Notamacropus eugenii: one gene and its partner. The protein of the gene in region 1 purifies or fractionates together with the protein of each later gene. This does not show direct contact. Links are inferred from orthologs where the notes say so. Each region holds a gene or a part of one and is shown on either strand. Other genes may lie near its edges.

Region 1 (3,743 bases):
CAGGGGTGTCAGCGCTGGGAGGACTAGAACCCCAGGTGCCAGAGCTGGGAGGGCCCTTAGAACCTTGGGTGTCAGAGCTGGGAGGGCCCTTAGAACCCAGGGGTGTCGGCGCTGGGAGGCCCTTAGAACCCAGGTGTCAGAGCTGGGAGGGCCCTTAGAACCCAGGGTATCAGAGCTGGGAGGACCCTTAGAACCCAGGGGTGTCAGAGCTGGGAGGACTAGAACCCCGAGTGTCGGCGCTGGGAGGACCTAGAACCCCGGGTGTCAGAGCTGGGAGGGCCCTTAGAACCCAGGGGTGTCGGTGCTGGGAGGACTAGAACCCCGGGTGTCAGAGCTGGGAGGGCCCTTAGAACCCAGGGGTGTCGGCGCTGGGAGGACTAGAACCCCGGGTGTCAGAGCTGGGAGGGCCCTTAGAACCCTGGGTGTCGGCGCTGGGAGGACTAGAACCCCGGGTGTCAGAGCTGGGAGGGCCCTTAGAACCCTGGGTGTCGGCGCTGGGAGGACTAGAACCCCGGGTGTCAGAGCTGGGAGGGCCCTTAGAACCCTGCTAGGTGGGACAGCGCCGGGCCTGGAGTCAGCTAGACTCATCTCCCCGGGTTCAAATCCCGCCTCAGACCCTGACCAGCTGTGGGACCCTGGGCGAGTCACTTCACCTGGTTTGCCTCAGTTTCCTCATCTGTAAAATGAGTTTTAAGAAGAAATCAGGAACAGTCGGAAAGGGCTGAAACGACGGAGCAAGGCAGAAAAGCTTTCTGACTTAGCGCTATGCCCTGAGCGGTCTGGGCTGGCCGCATAAAGTCACGAGCTCGCCAGCCCCAGATGTGGTCAAGGCGTGGGGACCGCGCAGCCCAAAGAGCCCCGGATGCAGACGGGCCAGGCGCCGCGCCTGCGCACTAACGCCGCACTGCGCCCCACCCCCTCGCCCCGCGGAGTCTGTAAACAATCACCTCGTGGGCAGAACTCTCCCCGCCTCCGGTCTTTGCGCCTGCGCAGTAACTGACGCGTGCGCCTGCCAGCGGCCGGTGGGCTCGGTGCTGTTCGGTGTCGTTTGGGCCTGAGTCAAGGCCGGGGCCATGGCTCTGCGGCAGGCGCTGGGCCGGGGCCTGCAGCTGGGCCGGGCGCTGCTGCTGCGCTTCTCGGCCAAGCCGGGCCCGCCGGGAGGCTTAGGGCGGGCGGAGCGGCCGGGGCTGGGCTGGGGCCTCGGGGCCCGAGAGGCGGCGGCTCCGGCTCCGGGGCCCGGCCTGGGCCTCCCCAGCCGCTACCGCTTCTTCCGGGAGTCGGTGGCCGGGCTGGCCGCCCGCCTGCAGCGTCAGCTGGTGCTGCGGGCCCGGGGAGCCGGGCCCCCCTGCGGCCGCGCGGTCTTCTTGGCCTTCGGCCTGGGGCTGGGGCTCGTGGAGGAGAAGCAGGCGGAGGGGCGGCGGGCGGCCTCGGCCTGCCGGGACATCCAGGTGAGGGCCGCGGACCGGCCCGGGCAGGACCGGCCCCGCGGACACCGAGCGGCCGGAGGCGGCCAAGGTCAAAGCCGAGCCTCGGGCGGGAGGGGGGAGGGGGGAGGGGAGGAGCCCCCGCTGTCCGAGGTGCGGGCTCTGAGTGGAGCTGGGTCCGCCTCGGAGCCAAGAACCTTAGAATCCTGGCACGTGCAGTGTCACAGTTGTAAGGAACCTGGGGACACGGAATGTCACGCCTAAAATCACCTTGAAGCATAAAGGTCCGAGCTGGGAGGGTTAGAACCCAGGCTGGCAGAGCCGGGAGGGCCCTTAGAACCCAGGGTGCCAGAGCCGGGAGGGATCTTAGAACATAGAATGTTACTGCTTAAAGGGACCTTCGAACCTAGAACATAGTCACAATTGGAAAGGACCTTAGGATATAGAAGTGTCAGTGCTGGGCAGTCCTTGGACAGAAAGTCAGGACTAGAAGGAACCTTAGAACATAGAGTGTTAGAACTAGAAGAGGTCTTAGAACAGAGAACATCATAGCTGAGAGATTATGTGTTACAGTGGAAAGAGTACTGAATTTGGAGTCTTTGAACTTCCTTTGAATTTCATTATGCCATTTATTACCTATCTGACCTTGAGCAAATAATACAATGGATAGAGCACTGGGACTTGAATCAGGAAGACCTGAGTTCAAATCCAACCTCAGACACTTAGGAACTGTATGACCCCAGTCAAGTCACTTAATTTGTCATCCTAAGTTTCCTCCAATGTAAAATGAAGATGATAATCGCACTTAGCACCTAGGAGTGCCAGGTGGTGCAGGAGATAGAGCTCAAGCCTGGAGTCAGGAAGACGCATCTTCCAGAGTTCAACTCTAGCCTCAGATACTTACTAGCTTGTGACCCTGGGGGAATCATCTAACCCTCTTTGCTTCAGTTTCCTCATCTGGAGCTGGAGAAGGAAATGGCAAATCAGTCCAGTATCTCTACCAAGAAAACCCCACATGAGGTCACAAAGAAGACAGGACTGAAATGGCTGAACAAACAACATGCTTACCAAAGTGCCTGGCATAAATGCTGGTCCCCCTCAATCTAATCTGTGAAAGGAGAGGTTTGTATGAGAGGGTCTTCCATTTTCAAACCCTTTAAAGCAATGCAATGTGGCACAAAGAGTTCTAGATTTGAATTCAGGTGACCTGGATCCTTGGTCAAACCTTGTTACCTCAGTTTATGACTTGACAGTCATAAGGGATATAGATTCCATCTCTAGAGGCAGAAAGGACCTTATAGGTCATCTAGCACAACCCTTTTGTTTTTTAAAAGATGGGGAAGCTAGGGCCAAGTTAAATGAATGACTTGCCCAGCTGTACAATGTAAGCAAGTAAGTGGCAGAGCCTAGATTTGAAGCAGGCCCCCTGATTCCAAGCCTGTTGGGTTAGGGCTTGGGGCAGGGGACGGGGGAAGCATTGGCACCCAGGGGCATTGGCTCCCAATATGTTCCTTGAGTACTGAGACTTTTTTGAGGGAGTCTCTATCCCAATCTTTAACTCATGAACATCAGAGATAGGAAAGGTCTTGGAGGCTCTATAGCCCCTTATTGTTCTGGGTACAGCCAGCTTAAGATTTTAAGCAAAAACTATGTTTTAGCCACTTAGCTAGCACACATGATCTCAGTAGAGTCTAACTTTCCCTACTGGAATGCTGCCTGCTGTACTAGTGAGCTTAAAAGGAAATGGTAATTGATACCAAATGTAATTAGACCTATAATTAAACTCATGTAGTACACTCACACATAGGAACCTACAACCTCGTGGCCCTTCCCCTCCCCTGATCTGGCCCAGCATCCTTGTTTTGCAGAGGAGCAGACTGAAGCCCAACAGGTTATTTCAGCAGCCCCAGACTTGGAACACAGATCTCCTGACTGCTAGTTCCAAAATTCTTTCCACTATTGCACAGTGCCTCTGATTATTTTACAGAAAGGAAAACTGGGACCCAAGAAAGGGAATGGTTTTGCCCAAGATCAGACAATCAATCAGTATTTATTAAGGTCCTGCTGACTGCTAAGCTCTCAGAATACAAAAAAAGAGGCAAAAGACAGTCCCTGCCCTCAAGCAAGATATATATAGGATGAAAGGGAAGGTACCAAAATTAAGAGGGGTTGGAAAGTCTTCCTACAGGTGGTGGGATTTTAGCTGGGACTTAAAGGCAGCTAGGGAAGCCAATGGACAGAGATGAGGAGGAAGAACAATCCAGGCAAGGGGGACAGCCAGAGCTGAGAGATGGAGGGTCTCCAAAGTGGAAGAGCCTG
Region 2 (3,743 bases), on another chromosome or scaffold:
ACGTCCTTGGGGTTTCTCAGATCGTTCTCCAAAATCTCTTAATCCTGGCCCTAGCCTGCCCGCCGAGGTGGACCCCACGGGCGGGTGCCAGTGTGCGCGTGTGTGCGGTGACTCTGCAGATACCGCGCACCTCACCGCACACGGGCTGGGCCCAACGTGCGCCCTGCTTCCCCGGGCCCCTGGGGCGCCCAGGACCTTGGCAGCTTCCCCTCCATTAGCCCTCCCGGCTCAGCCCGCTGCCCCCGGCCCCCTCCCTCTGTGGGAGCCTCAGGGGTAGTGGAGGAGAAGGGGGTTGTTGGGTCGGGGTGGGGGGCGCGGGGAGGGGCTTGCTCTAATGTTCCTCCAGTGGGGATGGCCAGTCGTGGGAGGGGCACTGGATGGGACTCTGGATATTGAGGTTACAGGAAAGGGAATGGGAGAAGAGGGGGAGGGGAGGTACAAGCATGTATTATGCGCCTACTGTGTGACCGAGCGCCGGGCAAAGCACTTGACCGGGGCTGGGGTATAGAAAATGGAGCGCAGTGGGGACGCCGCAGGAGGGATGCGGGGGATGCGGGGGATGCGGGGGATGCGGGGGATGAGTCCGCGGCCGGTCCAGGCCCGCATTGGCGCCTTGGCTCGCTGCACGAAGAGCTCAGGCCCAGTGGGGGGGGAGGGAGGAGGAGGAGGGAGGGGAGGAGGTGGGGGGGCGGCGTGCGGGAGTGGGGGGGGAAGGAGAGGGGGCGGGGAATGCGACTAGACAGGCGTGGAAACTGCTGGAAATGCCGCCGCACTGCAGAAAGGCTCGGCTTCCGCCGCCGAGCTCCTTGGCAAAGAGTCCCGGAGAGCTCGCCCTTCCCCCAGCCCATTCTGCCCGTGGGCTGGAGCGGGGGGGTGGGGATGGGGAACCAGCTTGGGCTTTACTGCCCTCCTACCTTGTGGGGGCCACCTCTTTTGCGGGGAGCCCCCCCACCCTTCAGAGACATAGCTCTGCCCTGACCTCCCTGCCACTCCACGTGTACCCCTCCCAGCCGCTCAAAACCGGTTCAGAAAAAGCCCCCGGGCTGTTCTGCGCGACCCCGGTTTGTCCTCTCCCCCACGTAGGTCCCGAGGGCAGGAGAGCGAGGCTACCTCGTGGCTTAGCCCTCCTCCTCGAGGTGGGGGGGAGGGTGACACTAGCTTGGAGGGTGGCCGCTTGTCGCAGGCAAGGTCCCAGCATCTCTCCCCAAGGCAGATCGCGGCGAGGGTCTCGCGACCCCCAGCCCCGCCCCAGCCCCTGGCTCCGTCCCCGTGCGGCTGGAGAGGCTGCCCCCGCCCCTGCCCCCGTCCTGACCGTTCACCGGTTACGTCAGTGAGTCCATCGGTGAACCTTTGTTAAGCCTCGGCTGAGGGTCAGGGCCGACGGCTCGGGGAGCTTTCTGGGAGCTGGCAGGTTCACGGGTGGGAAACCACGAACCGCCAGACAAAACTCGTACGAACGGGGTGACCTTGGGCCTCAGTGACCTCATGTGTAAAATAAACGTGATCCCTAAAGAAGGTTCCTGCCTATTCCAGTAGTTTCGTTTCTATAATCTGTATGTGCGTACAATGTGGAAAGAAGGAGGGGGGGCCGGGAGAAGCTGCAGGAGAAGGCCGGCGGCGCCCTCGGAGGCTGCAGGTGCGCGGTCTGTGAGGCGGCCCCTTTAAGGCGGAGGGATTCGCCTGGGAAGCTCCGACGCTATCGGTGCGCTGCCAATATATAGGGCGGGTGGGGGCGGCCGGCAGCTTCTCTTGTGCCAAGCTCCTCACGGTGCGAGGTGTGCGTAGCCGCTGGACTCAGCCCTTCTCTGACCCGGCCTGCTTGTCTGCCATCGCTCAAGGTGACGTATTCGCTACATTCCCGTCTAATACCTCTTATCTTCCTTTTCTACTCTGCCTTTTTTCTCATATTATTACCCACAAAGGTTTTAATGCCCCCCCCCCATCCCCGCCGACCGTTCAGACTTCGGTTTTTCTGAGTAAGGCTATTCCCCTCCCCCAGCCTCTTTTCTTCTTCCTAGCCTCAGGGAGGGTTCGGGCAGGGAGTGACAGCCGCGCGGGGGCCGGTTGGTCGGCAGCAGCGTTCCCGGGGGGTTAGGGTTAGCACGTGGTGGCCGCGCCGGTCCCCACGGGACGCTGCCATGTTGGGCTCGCACCTCCACTTCCGGCGGCTACGGGGAGCGAGAGGGGCATTCGGCGCGCGTGTGGGGGAGCAGGCTGGGGTGACTCAGCACCGGGGTGGGGGGGCGAGTCCTTCGCCAGGTTTCATCTTTGCTTTTCGGTTGCATCACTGTCTCGGTCCTCTAGGTATCTTTCCGTGCTCCACTTTCCCTGGCCATCATGGCCGCATTTTTCAGTAGCGCGTTGGGGGGGGGGCCCGCGGGGCCGCGGGGGAGGTGGTTCGAGAAGGGAGGAGCAGGTTCTGGAACATTCCCGGGACTCCCTCCCCCCTCCCTTCGCGTTGGGGCCCAGATTCTTCTGGAAGCTTCTGGAGCCGCGCGCCCCGCCCAGGTGCCCGGATGCTGGGATGGCGCCGGAGCCCCCAAGCGGGGATGGCGGGGACATCGTGCCCCTTAGGCGGTGGGGTGTCTCCTCCTCCCGACCTAGAGGATCGGCCCCAGGCGGGAACTCCTCCCTCCCCGCGGTGCCGTGTTTCACTCAGCGGGGTTGCAGGCGCGGACACTGGCTCTTTGTCCGCATCCTTTGTCATCCCTTGCGCTAGACCTGGCCGTTATCCTGGTGGGCCTCCCCCTCCCCCATGCGGGGGCCGCTGCCCGTCCATTTGTTACCTAGTGTTACTCGGCACGAGGCAGGCAGGCCCCGCCCCGAGCGCTGCGCTAGGCTCCGGGGATGCTGATGCGGGCTTCACTGCTTGGCGGGTGCCTCTGGTGGAGTGGTGCTGAAGGGCTTCCATTGTAGTGTGAATTGAGGATGTTTAATGGCGGGGAAGCCTATTAATTAATTAGCGTGCCTTTTTAAACCGAGTTGGAGAGACTTCCATTGGATTTCTCTTTCTGGGGAATCTCAGCTGGGGGCTTTTTTCCCCAAAACATCAGCAGTAGACATTCTAGGCTGTTAAAAAGCAATAATGAAATCTTTAAAGGTCGTTTCTACCCCCAGATGTCAAAAGTTACTGGACTTCAGTGATTTCTGGAGAGTATAGAAGCGTTTCTCCAATATTTCAAAGTCTACAGGGCATTTGCTTTTCATCTCTGGGTCCTTGAACTGACTCAAAACAACCAAGTCTGGTGTTTGGGTTGTTTTTTGACTGCTTAATTGTTGAGTTAACTGAACCTGGCATCTGGGTAGGAGTCACTGGTTTTTCTCAGATAATTCTTGTGGGGGAGGTCAGATATTAGACTCTAGATTAACTGTACCCTTTTATGTTTAAAGATGCCTGAGGAAGTACAGCATGGAGAGGAGGAGGTGGAGACCTTTGCCTTCCAGGCAGAGATTGCCCAGCTTATGTCCTTGATTATCAACACCTTTTATTCTAATAAGGAAATCTTTCTTCGAGAGATTATTTCCAATGCCTCTGATGTAAGTGTTACTATTGATGATAATATGGTAACCTGGGGAGGGAATAGGAGGAGGGTGGTGGTCTTAATCAGGTTTTCTGTTGTCACTCCTCCCCACAGAGGGGGTTATGAGATTTTTGCATCATAGGTTGAAAGAAAGCTGTCTTGGTTAAGCAAGTCTGTGAATATCATTCTAATTGAAGAGCACAGTACAAGTAGTACAAGTAG

Evidence for each region. Proteins that work in one complex are often made in the same cells at the same time.
Region 2: the proteins of PINK1 (region 1) and HSP90AB1 purify together in Homo sapiens (affinity purification with mass spectrometry; 4 studies listed by BioGRID and IntAct, with this or other methods). This does not show direct contact. The link is inferred for Notamacropus eugenii from reciprocal best matches to the Homo sapiens genes PINK1 and HSP90AB1.

What each region holds. Positions count from the first base shown.
Region 1 is NC_092876.1:60,646,533-60,650,275, forward strand, and holds the start of PINK1 (serine/threonine-protein kinase PINK1, mitochondrial), read left to right. Parts: upstream 1-983; 5' UTR 984-1,073; coding exon 1,074-1,448; intron 1,449-2,328; exon of another isoform or gene 2,329-2,561; intron 2,562-3,743. UniProt on the Homo sapiens protein: Serine/threonine-protein kinase which acts as a sensor of mitochondrial damage and protects against mitochondrial dysfunction during cellular stress.
Region 2 is NC_092873.1:107,736,535-107,740,277, forward strand, and holds the start of HSP90AB1 (heat shock protein HSP 90-beta), read left to right. Parts: upstream 1-1,137; 5' UTR 1,138-1,838; intron 1,839-3,390; coding exon 3,391-3,537; intron 3,538-3,743. UniProt on the Homo sapiens protein: Molecular chaperone that promotes the maturation, structural maintenance and proper regulation of specific target proteins involved for instance in cell cycle control and signal transduction. Undergoes a functional cycle linked to its ATPase activity.